2 linked regions of the Arabidopsis thaliana genome follow. The protein of the gene in region 1 interacts with the protein of each later gene in a biochemical or structural test. Each region holds a gene or a part of one and is shown on either strand. Other genes may lie near its edges.

What was found.
Region 2: of the proteins of PCNA1 (region 1) and RAD5, one has a biochemical effect on the other in vitro, tested with the Arabidopsis thaliana proteins (one study listed by BioGRID).

What each region holds. Positions count from the first base shown.
Region 1 is NC_003070.9:2,261,154-2,265,351, forward strand, and holds PCNA1 (proliferating cellular nuclear antigen 1), read left to right. Parts: upstream 1-1,883; 5' UTR 1,884-2,050; coding exon 2,051-2,369; intron 2,370-2,561; coding exon 2,562-2,714; intron 2,715-2,797; coding exon 2,798-2,895; intron 2,896-3,007; coding exon 3,008-3,229; 3' UTR 3,230-3,400; downstream 3,401-4,198. Other genes in the region: MAC5A (CCCH-type zinc fingerfamily protein with RNA-binding domain-containing protein), read right to left, coding at 1-255, 587-810, 932-1,201, 1,538-1,642; AT1G07380 (Neutral/alkaline non-lysosomal ceramidase), read right to left, coding at 3,676-3,935. UniProt on the Arabidopsis thaliana protein: This protein is an auxiliary protein of DNA polymerase delta and is involved in the control of eukaryotic DNA replication by increasing the polymerase's processibility during elongation of the leading strand.
Region 2 is NC_003076.8:7,564,998-7,572,842, forward strand, and holds RAD5 (DNA/RNA helicase protein), read right to left. Parts: upstream 6,113-7,845; 5' UTR 5,875-6,112; coding exon 5,338-5,874; intron 5,255-5,337; coding exon 5,121-5,254; intron 5,032-5,120; coding exon 4,896-5,031; intron 4,755-4,895; coding exon 4,701-4,754; intron 4,615-4,700; coding exon 4,468-4,614; intron 4,382-4,467; coding exon 4,230-4,381; intron 4,154-4,229; coding exon 4,069-4,153; intron 3,959-4,068; coding exon 3,689-3,958; intron 3,573-3,688; coding exon 3,426-3,572; intron 3,319-3,425; coding exon 3,163-3,318; intron 2,789-3,162; coding exon 2,721-2,788; intron 2,628-2,720; coding exon 2,505-2,627; intron 2,396-2,504; coding exon 2,296-2,395; intron 2,214-2,295; coding exon 2,101-2,213; intron 1,873-2,100; coding exon 1,594-1,872; intron 1,483-1,593; coding exon 1,282-1,482; intron 1,199-1,281; coding exon 1,105-1,198; intron 1,011-1,104; coding exon 939-1,010; intron 736-938; coding exon 637-735; intron 500-636; and 3 more. Other genes in the region: AT5G22760 (PHD finger family protein), read left to right, coding at 6,638-7,416, 7,797-7,845. UniProt on the Arabidopsis thaliana protein: Functions in error-free postreplication DNA repair or DNA-damage tolerance (DTT) pathway. Required for homologous recombination (HR) induced by DNA double-strand break (DSB) in somatic cells.

The sequences.
Region 1 (4,198 bases):
TTGGAGAGCTCTTGCGCAGCCTTCTCTGCACCTTCACGGCTTGTGTATGTGACAAATGCACAGGCTTTATCGGCCAAGATTCTGATAGATTCAATTTCTCCATGAGCGTAGAATTGGTCTCGTATGTCCTGCTCGAGAATTCTCGAGTTAAGTCCACCGACGTAAAGGGTTTTGATGCTTTCATCGTCTGGCGATTCCAAAGTGCCCATCTCACCAGCTTTGCCAAGCAACTTCATAGCAACTGGATCATTAACACTGAAAACGTGTAAAAGAAAATGAGAAACAGTTAAAACAAACTCTTCAACAAGAATAAATGCAAAAGTACTAATACATTACAAAGAGAACTAAAACTGGAAACGACACTATGTAACAAGACTACATGAGAGCCAACATAGCATAGTTCAGTCCAAGAATTCACATATCAGAAGCTTTCAAATATCGAGTATATTATGAATGATCAAGGAGAAAATAGTACTATGGCAGAAACATATGAAATTTTACACTCCTTAGGGGAGGTATCGAAACAACCAATAAAGAACGGAACTAAACGTCAACAAAGTCAAACATACAGAAGAAAAAAGCTTACCCATAATAACGGTCTTTTATGTTTTGCTGGGATAGCTCTCCTGTTTCGGGCATCTCATGCCGGTATGGACATTCAGCACCTCTTGTACACTCACCCCTGATGAAGAAACTACAAACATGTGCTCGGTTCCTCTTATAGTACGGTGTTGTTCTTTGAAGCTTTAAAATAGTATCATTGGGTCGCATCTTCCCGAATGAAGATTCATAATCCAGTCCAGCTCTAGCCTACATAACAGAAAAAGCAAAATCACTTAGATAAGCCACCATGAGAAAGCTAGAGTAAGTCTTCAAAATTCTCAAACCAACAAATGCTGAAATAAAATCGTGAGTGTGAACATGATCATACCTTCCTGTCATGCTCTTCAGCAAAATACTCTCTGTTGACATCACTTTTAGGGATAGAGTCATGAGTACTAATGTTGAGTGCTGTGTCTCTTACTTGAACTGGAAGACCATACTCAAGATCCAGAAGACAGACTTGACAAACATTTTTCAACTTGCAGCAAGTCTGACAAATTTCGGTTTTCTTGTATCTAGCATCCCGGCCAGGTCGCCACCTAAACACCGTGAAAGGTCGTGTACATATCTTGCATTCCTTATCATAATTCGCTTTGGTCTACATATCAACAGATAAAACGTCAATCAGAAATCAAAACATCGAGATTTTCAGAAAACAAAATTGCAGCTGAAAGCTAAGAGAATCCGCAGCTGTAATCAAATCCAACTATAACTAAACGAATTTGGATGTAAAACCCAATTTTTCGATGAATTTGATAACAAGCTAAACCCTAAAACCATATTTACTAAGTTAACCACTCCAATATACAGAAAACATCAACGAGCAAGAGACTGGTTAAGAGATGAGATCCGGAAATAAGATTCAGGAGCCATTGAAACAAAACAAGCAATAGCAAAATCCAAGAATGTTTGAGAGAAGGAATCGAGAAATCACCATTCGCACGTAGGGGTTGTCACCGAGACAAGATTCGCAGATGATTGGGAAATCGGAGCGTTCCCATCCATCGGCTTCATGATCTCTCAGTATTCTGTGAGCCATTCTCTTATCCTCTGATTCGATTAGTCGATATCAAATCTCGAACACGAAGGAGACGACGAGATTTTAACTAGGGCAAAGTCGGTTTTGGATTCGCGTGTTTTTGTCTTTTAAATATTACAAATAAAACCCTAAACTTTCACTACAATTCGAAATGAACTTTTCTTCTTTTTATTAATACAAATTAACCCTCTAACTTTTATAATGACCAAAAATATCCATCCAATTCTTAAAACGATTGAGGCCGGCACTAGCGCATTGGCGGGAACCAAATAGCTTAGAATGGCGAAATCCCGCCAGAAAAGAAAAAGCTTATAAATCGGACTCCTTGACCTTATAGTGTCAATCCACTTTCCAAAATAGCCGCAAACGATTCTCATTGTGAACTCTGATAATATCTAAGACGACGAAATGTTGGAGCTACGTCTTGTTCAGGGCTCGTTGTTGAAGAAGGTTCTAGAATCAATCAAAGATCTGGTGAACGATGCGAATTTCGACTGCTCCAGCACTGGGTTCTCACTCCAAGCTATGGATTCGAGTCACGTTGCTCTGGTGTCTCTCTTGCTAAGATCCGAAGGCTTCGAACACTACAGATGCGACAGGAATCTCTCCATGGGGATGAATCTCGGCAACATGTCGAAGATGCTCAAATGCGCCGGAAATGATGACATCATCACCATCAAGGCTGATGACGGCGGCGACACCGTTACCTTCATGTTTGAGAGCCCCAGTAAGTTTATTTGCTAATTGACTGACTTACTCTAATTTCTGGTTTCTATGGGTTAAGCTTGTACGAAATGGTGGAATGATTGATGGAATAGAATGATTTAGTTCTCTTAGGGGTTGTATATAGTTTCAAGTTTCAAAAACTTGGTTTAGACCTAGCTGCTTTTAACTTGGTTTTGTGTTGGATGATTTACAGCGCAAGACAAGATTGCTGATTTTGAGATGAAGTTGATGGATATAGACAGTGAACATCTGGGAATACCTGATGCTGAGTACCACTCAATCGTGAGGATGCCTTCCAATGAGTTTTCCAGGATTTGCAAAGATCTCAGTAGCATTGGTGACACAGGTACATTGCTGCATTGTTTCTATTCTCAATCTGGGTTGTTTTTTTTAGTCTAAATAGAGATTGACCTGATGTTATTGTTGCAGTTGTGATCTCTGTGACTAAAGAAGGCGTGAAGTTTTCTACTGCCGGTGACATTGGAACCGCTAACATTGTGCTCAGGCAGAACACAACTGTAGACAAGGTATTAACATGTCTAACTCTTTGCATAAACCTATGATACTGTTGACAAATCCTCTACGGCTGTTTCATTGGAGTAACATGTTAAATTGAGGCTTTTGTTTTGTGTATTGCAGCCGGAAGATGCAATTGTGATAGAGATGAAGGAGCCAGTGTCTCTCTCATTTGCCCTGAGGTACATGAATTCCTTCACAAAGGCAACTCCATTGTCAGACACAGTGACAATCAGCTTATCGTCGGAGTTGCCAGTGGTTGTGGAGTATAAGGTTGCTGAGATGGGTTACATTCGTTACTACTTGGCTCCTAAGATTGAAGAAGAAGAAGACACTAATCCCTAAGACCCCTTTTATATCCACAATTTCTCTTCATTCTAAAATGTTGAAGATTTATTGACAATGTTGGTGTTTTTTTTTGGTGAGATTCCTTTGTATCCCCCCTCTAGAATCAGTTGTTTTCTTGACTTATTATGTTTTATGATAACAAAGTTCAGCAAAATTAGTTGTCTTGAAACTATGACCATTCATCAACAAACTAACTCCACTTTGCAAGATAATTTATACACTAACACAACCGTAGTTGCCTATACCTGGATACTTAAACTGTATGTGAACATTGACATGAAAAGGTATATTGGATTCCATTAGACTTCTCAACATCAGTTCTTTGACACCATTCTGTACTCTCTGGCTACATTTGTGTAGTACATGCAAGTGCACAAGACAGTGCATCAGGTAAACCTAGTATAATACAAGTTTACTATGTATCTACTTTGGTTTCTACTTGTTTATGTTACAACGAAAGCACTAGAAGAGCCTGTGAAATGATGGACTGACCCAAAAAGCTTCTTTGCAGCACCAAAATGGGTGATCCTATAAACCCCTGGTGATGCAGACTCGGGAATTCTCCATTCCACAGTGGCCTGACTCCGGGAGCTCAGCTTTTTATGCCTCGACCACTTGAACCTCAGACATAGATCATCGTCGTCATAAACCGGGGTCCAAGTCTTGTCCTTCTGCTCTAGTCTCTCCACCAGTGTAAACGTCCCTGTCATGAACATAGTATCTCTTCTTAGCATCAAAGTATGACAAGTCACTTATTTTGAAAGGATCCATCACTAAGAAGTAGACATAAGCATATGCAATTTTAGAAATTTATGAGCAATAATAACCCATGAGAAATTCACGTCAGCAAGAATAGTTAGTATTTCAATATTTTCACTTTTAAAAGCTCACAGTTTTGCATCAACGCGACTATGCTCCATGGTTAAGGTTATTATCCTTCATCACAGAATTAGAGAAAAAGGGACA
Region 2 (7,845 bases), on another chromosome or scaffold:
GAACATGTTATGTAAAAGTGTCACATTTTCTAGATTTTTAAAGTAATCCTTAAGCCTTTTCACTGTGCAAATTTGTCATATTGAGTTAACTATATAATAGTATAAAGTTACAGTTCATTATAAATGAAAAAGTACAAAAAACAATCTGATTTCCATTACAAAACAACAAAACCCAGATAGGCTTATGGTACACTTGGGAACTCTCACTGCACATTCCCCAAAACTGTGACAATTGTCCATCATATCTCTTGAAAAGAACAAAACCCGTTTTTAGATGCGTTATAATCTCTGATTCTCCTTGCATATAGTGTGACAAGTTTCCCATATATGTAGAATTGTATGATCGACTTCAGGCTTGAGAACAGTTTCTATAGTTTCAGGTAAATAACATCTTGAGTTCCTCTATACGTGCACTTCGTACTTCTTGATCGGTTAAAGCCCCAGAGATCATTCTCTGCTTCCTCGCCTGAACCGCCTCCATTCTCTCTTCAACCGTTCCCTAGGATTCACAAAGGCAAGACATACAAGTTTCTAATGATCATTACTCAGCAACAACATTTTCTGATTTTGGAATAGTTTCAGTGATTGGTCTTTATATGGTTAATGGGGACTAACTGCTGAGAAAGAAGAGGGTACCTTAACGATGAATCTTCTGATTTTGACTTCCTTAGTTTGCCCTATACGATGAATACGCATAACAGCTTGTTCCTCTACCGCTGGGTTCCACCATGGATCCTATAGGACATAACTTGGTTTTCTTTACAACTGAAACTTCTTTAAAACCTATTTTGTATTGTGCAGTACTCATTCACAAGCTTTTGAAACAAAAGGTGGCATGAACTACTACTCGATTTTCATATTTTGGATGAGCTATTACATGGTCTAAATCCTATAGAAACTGATATGATCTTTCATAGATATCTATAGATATTCCATACCATGACAAAAGCATTGGACGCAGCTGTTAGATTTATCCCAACGCCACCAGCTTTTAGAGACATCAACAGTACCTATCCAACAATTGAAAAGGAGACTTTTTAACTTCAATTTCGAAACTAGAAAGTATAAGTATTGAACATTGCAATGTAATGCGACTGCACCAACCAGGATACTGCCATCTTCGGAAAATTCTTTAAGGACCTTCTCTCGTTGCTGCTGACTTAGCGTGCCATCAAGACGGACAAATGAAAAGTTATTCCTGGAGATAAAATTGTGCTATAATTTAGATTCTTAAAAACAATTTATTCTCATAACTACCATAGCAAGCCAACAATGGTATACCGAGAGAGGGGAATTTGGAGGAGATCGAGGAAAGCGGTCCACTGGCTAAAGAGAATGCTCTTAGAGCCTGAAGAACGAAGACCTTCAAGCTCTTCCAGAAGAGCAGTGATTTTCGATGATTCCACCCAATTCTTTTCCACGTCAACCTGGAATCTACTTTCGGTTGGTGCTGTGATGAGTTCTTGTTTGCTTACAGTGTTCCTGAAAAAAACGATTCATCATTCATTATTTGCCAAATTAGACCTTACTCAGACACTCATTGGAATCAACAACAGAAGAAAACTAGTAATCGCAGGAACAACTTCAAGATACCTACACACAGGACATAACCCAGAAGTAGAATTTCTCCAACTTGCCAAGAGACACTCACGACATAATCTATGAGCACATGGCGTTAATACAGCATCCTCAAGTGCTTCAAGGCATATTGGACACTCTCCTTGCTCTCCTTTGCGCAGTTCCTCTACCACCTCCTGAACAAAAGCCTCTGACGGTACATCTTTTCCTTCCCTTTCTAAGCCAGAAGACTTTCCACTAAGGAAACGTTTAGAAAGCTTATTCAGATCAGAGTATTCCGCTGTATCCCCTCGACTGGATGCAAGAAAAACAAGAGACTGTTATAAGAAATATGGCAATTGCGTCAACAAAATGTCAAACAGAAACAAGGGCTACGGATGCATGTTTCTTATACCAAATTGCCATTATCTACGATATGTTATTGGATATTTTATACAACGTCATGCAACAGATTAAGTAGCCATGGAAGTTAAACCCAGCAATGTGTATCTATACTAAATAAAAAGCCAGTAAAAGCCACACCTCATTACTAAAAATGGGTGATCACAACATTGTCGAAGACGCAAAAGCAGTTCCAGGATCGAAGCATAGTTATGAAGAACTTTGCCTTGTTCAACAAATTGATCAAATTTGACCTGAAAAAGATCCGTCAGCATCTTCAGTATAAGGCATCTTAATAACTAAAGTTCGAGTAAATAATCCTAAGGAAAACAATACCTTGGATCTTTTAAATAGCGCGTCGTAGAAATCCCTCTCAGACTCCGAAAGTTCACAGTAAATGACCCGTGCATCAGCAGGGGGTAGAACAAGAATCGGCCTAAAATAAACAAACAAGCTTCAAATTAACCGAGGAAACTCAAAGGAAAATATTATGTTTTATAAGCACAGGAAGTTATACAGTAATCTATTATTTGTAGTATTCCTACCTTCCTTCTCGGTCTGTGCTAGACTTTGTTCTCCTAAGCATGATAGGTTTTAAGATAGACTGCACTAGCTTTAACCCTCTCTCATCACCCTCTTCAAATGGCTTTTGGACAAGTTTATTCCACCTAAGAATAAAATATGTTCCAAATTAAAAAGCTTCAAGTAATTCCATACCAAACGTTATGTGTTTCCAACCAAAGATAGATAAGGACCCTTACCATGCCCAAGTTCCCCATGGTTCAATCCTCAAAAACCGTAGAAGGCTGTATAAATCCTCCAGATTGTTCTGTCAATAAGATAACATGTGAAATGATCACAAAGTTCCAAATAGGACAAAAAATTACTATTCACCATCCATTTGAATGAACCAAGATATCATGCCAGCAGACATATGGATACCAAAATTGCAAGCCATATGAAATAAATCTTCAAAGACAACTTTGTGAGATAAAGTCGAGACTTGTGTACAATAAATCATGCACAACAAGTTGATATCCTTCTAACAGAGATTTAGACCATTCGAAACTCAGGTGAATAACAAATGTCCAACTACTAAAATTCTTCCATAGATAGAATGGCAGTGTCCTAATAAAGTTTGGTCTATAGGACGGTCAAGAACAAAGATTTTCTTTCTAAACCCTAGACAAAAAGACCAATCACCTGAATAGGAGTACCCGTAAGACACCAACGCCTATCAGCAACCAGAGCTGCAGCAGCCAAGGAAATTTGGCTTTTTGAGTTTTTGATGGTATGTGCCTCGTCAAGAACAATCCTAAACCATCGAACTGCATAAATTCCTTCATGGTCTGCTGAGTTCTAAGAAGAAGAAAAACGAGAGAAGATAAGAAAATGTTCATGTGATGCTTTTATAAACTATATACATGGAATAATCCATGACCCGAAGACTCTTGTATGAAAGATACCTCTTGCGAGAATTCGGATGTTAGAACTCCATATGTGGTGATTACCACATCACTCTGGGAAAGAAGTTTTGCATCCTTCGGCCTGCTTTGCCCATAGTGAACATAGACAGATAGAGACCCAGGCTTTGCATGCATTTCAATCTCTGTCTGATCATAAAGCAGGAGCAAGAAAATATTAGCTGACACAAGGAAAGACAAAGAACAATTAACAACTTTGACGGATAACCAAACTATAGTGTGCACGTGCATTAAGCATGGAATACCTTCCACTGTCCTAAAAGTGTCATCGGACATACAATCAGGTTACCACCATTTTGAAGTACACTTTTTTGTTCAAGAAGCCTCTTATCAAAGCCTAGAAATTTGGTTGCCTTCACCGGGGGACTAGTGAGATCATCTACAGAACTGCTGATCACTTTGTCTCCTTCATAGTTGGGGCATAGAAACCCAGTTGATGCAGCTTTCCAAGAATGGGCAAGCAAAAGGGATATGGTCATTACAGTCTTTCCAAGACCCATTGCGTCTGCTAATATCTACAAAAGTTTTAGGATATAATATTATTACAAAACAGCTATATAATAAAGTGACAAAATCTAAACAATAAATGAAAGAAATTTTTATAGGTGGGGTATTGAGATCATACTCCTCCTCTTGCCATTTGAAGTGTGCTAGGGAAGTGTATTGTAGCATCACCAGTAAAAGAATTCAGGTAGACAACCAGTTCCCTCCTATTGACATAAAACAGATAGTAAATATCTTATCTGACTCGCACTAAAGTTCGAAGGCAATAGAAATATCACTCACTTGTCTGCTAAACAGTATGCTTCCCAACACGGGTGAAGCATTGTTGCTGCCTCATCAGTGCAATTTCCTTTCTCCAGTTGGGTCATCCAATGAAGTGCCTGCTTTTGGTATGGACGAAGCTCACACAGAAGTGTATGTGGAGTTTCCATTTCCTGTTGCAAAAATTTTCATGCAATTTTCCAAAGGAAATTTCCAGTGTTGGATATAAGTAAGCAAGAAGTCTTGAAAATGAGAATACCTTTAATCCAGAACTGTCCCCAACACCAACAATGTTATCAAGATCACCATCGCTGATACACTGCTCATTTTCATCTCCGTTTGCATCTTGATTCATATTCTTGACCTTGTTTAATTGAAGCAACGAAGTAGGAATAGCAGAACCATCCTATTTCCATAGGGCAGAGAGCAAATGACAAATTTTACAGGCAAGAAGTCAAATTTTAAGATGCTAATATAATAAGTAATATTTACCTTGGAACTCAAAGGTCGCTTCTTAGAGTAAAAATCCTCTGGAGTAAACTCTGCCTAAATATGATGAAGAATGGAAAAATTTCTTCGTCATCTCAAGATTATTCAGTCACATCATATGAGAAGTATATGGGAACTACAAACTGCAATCTATAAAAGAATCCGCATATCAAGTTATAGGCAAGGAATAACCATTACCTTCTTAAAGGGGATCAAACCGAGTAACCGAAAGAGATTTGGGAGAGGATGGAACATTGATTCCTCTGCCGTATTACTAGCTGTCTTAAATGAAGTCGCACTATGCTTTTGAAACATGGAACTATTAATGTACACGCTGTTTCAAAAACAAACTCACACCACTTCAAACACTAATGCATCTATCCTGAAATTGTAAACGGGAACACAAAAGTTTTGTATGCATACCTTACAGACAGAAGAATTGTATCCATGATGCTCAAAGCTTCAGGCGCCGACTTGCAACTGCCTTCTATCCTAATTTTCTTGTCTCTCACAAGTGGTAGAAGACACCGAGCCCACTCGTTTGGTATTCTACCAATCTACCACAAGAGCCCATCATAGTTAGTTAACAATTCCCATCTAACAAACTTAACATAGCAAATAAAAAAGATGTGAAACACACCTCTCCTGAATCCTTTGTAGAGAACCTAACGATATCAGAAGCACCACGCAAAGCTGGCCTTCCCCGCCCAAAACCGCGCTTCCCAGGCGTAGTCTCAGGCTTTAATCCTTTACTATGCGGAAACGTGAACACCAATTCATCACCAGACTTCAATTTCCTTCCTTTACATGTCGATAACCCAGCCAATTCAGAACAACCAACAAACCACCACTCATTCCCTGAAACACTCTCTTCTCCTCCACCATTAACACTCTCATTTTCTTCCTCCACGCGATGATTCGCTCCAACACTTCCGCTGTCACCAAAAGTACAGCCCTTTAATCCACTATCAACTCGCTTCCCTCCATTAGAGCCGCTCGGGGTAGGAGTGGCTACATCAGGTTTGGCGAAACTTGGAGTGTCGAAGATTATATTGATAGCAGCCGTTGGATCATGATTCGCCATGTGTAAAGCCCTGATTATATCCATATCTGAGTAATCGGAACCCACGACTGATCTGACGGTGGAAACAAGATCGTCTGAGACTTTCGTTCCCATTTCCAAAACCCTAATCCTACAATTTTCCAGGGAAATTTTGAAACTTTACTGAAAATTCAGTGAGCTTGTGGCTAAAGAACGCCGGAAAAAGAAAACCCCAATGTAGTACAGTGGCGAATTATAGAAATTGAAGTAGATCGACGACGACGGCGTACGAAATCTGCCGGACCCGAGAAACGCGCGTAAATTAGCGACGAGTCTCTCAAATTCCCGCCATTATATTGTTTTTTTTATTCAAGTGATGAAAATAGAAAGGTAAATTCAAAAACGGTGACGTTTTAAAATCCCTAACGGGTCTAGATCCGGGTAACCCGCATCCCGAGTTGAACTCAGTTTAACAATTAGACCACAAAAATCTGCCATTAACTCAGAAGTGAGAAGTGTAGTAGAACCATTCGACACGATTGAAAAAGCTCATCTTTTTTATTTCTATGTCTCTCTCTTTTGGTTACGTAAGCTCTCTGTCCATATGCTTCATTGATGGTGGTGGTTATCAAAATCTAGCAAGGTTTTAGCTTCAATTCTGTCCATATGTTTATCCATTTCCAAGCTCAGACGTGAAAAGATTTCAGATTTATCGCTGGATCACGGCTTTGATTTCTTTTGCTTCAGCTTTGAATTTGATTTCTTTTGCTTCAGATTTATCGGTGGATCTTAGATTTTGATGTGGGTATATGGTTCGATTTTATAAAAAGAAGTTAGATTTTTGGAATCATAGAAAGGGATAAACGAGAATTGAAATCTGGGGATTGATTTGGATCTGATGGAAGGAAAGGTGGCTAAACCTAGAGGTAGACCAAGGAAACGCCCCAGACCAGAGGATCTTAATGGGGTATCTAATCGAGGGAAGAGGCCGGTTTTCGAGGTGAAAGTGGCTGTACCTAGATCTCTTCTTGGTCGTTATGTGTTGAAAGATGTTGATGACAGTGGAGTTTTTCTTGGGAAGATAGTTTCTTACAATACTGGGTTGTACAGAGTTGAATATGAGGATGGTGATTTTGAGGATTTGGAAACTTGTTATCTTCGCCAGTTAATTATTGGGGATAGTTACTTTGATGATGAATTACGTGCTAGAAGGAGTAAATTAGACGACTTTATTCTGAAGAAGGACGAAAAGAAGAAAACAGATTGCCTGAAGAACAAAGGAGTTGAGGTGCCCACATGTAATAGCCCAAGTTCTGTGGCAGAAGTTGAAAGTGGTTATTCATCTTGTGGTTTGCCTGAGTGTGAAGATGACATAGATCCAGATTTCGAAAGTATGTCTCCTCTTGTTCCACCAGTGGAGTTGCCTTCTTCATCAGGAACAATTGGTATCCCTGAGGAGGCTGTGGTGTATCTATTATCTGTATATGGGTTCTTAAGATCATTCAGTGTTCAGTTATATATCTGCCCATTTGGATTGGATGATTTTGTGGGAGCTTTAAATTTTTTAGGACCTAATTCTTTGTTGGATGCCGTTCATGTTGCCTTGATGCGGGCACTGAAAGGTCATCTTGAGAGACTCTCCTCAGAAGGGTCTGAAGTGGCTTCAAAATGCTTGAGGTAAGCACATACAACTCTTGTCATTTACAGTTTTCAACAGATATTTCTTTGTTTCTTCTTGGAGATGTTTCTAGTTAACTTTCATATATTCCGAGTTATTTCTGTGAAACAGTAAAATTAATTTGTTGGATATCTGAATTTCAAGGAAGCAGAACTGCTGACATTATTTTTCAAGCTAGTAAAAATATACATTGTTATCTTATGTATGCATACATGCAACAAACCTTTTATAACAGCTGGGAGAAAAAGGCCTATGGCTGTACAGGGACTGCAATATAAGCCTCTTATTCATAGTTTAGGTGAAACTTGTTTTAGGTCTCCCATTATCCCATATTTTAGTGGATAACAATTCGGGGGTTTTGTTGCATTGCCATCTGCAGGTGCATTGATTGGAGCTTGCTCGATGCGCTAACTTGGCCTGTTTATTTG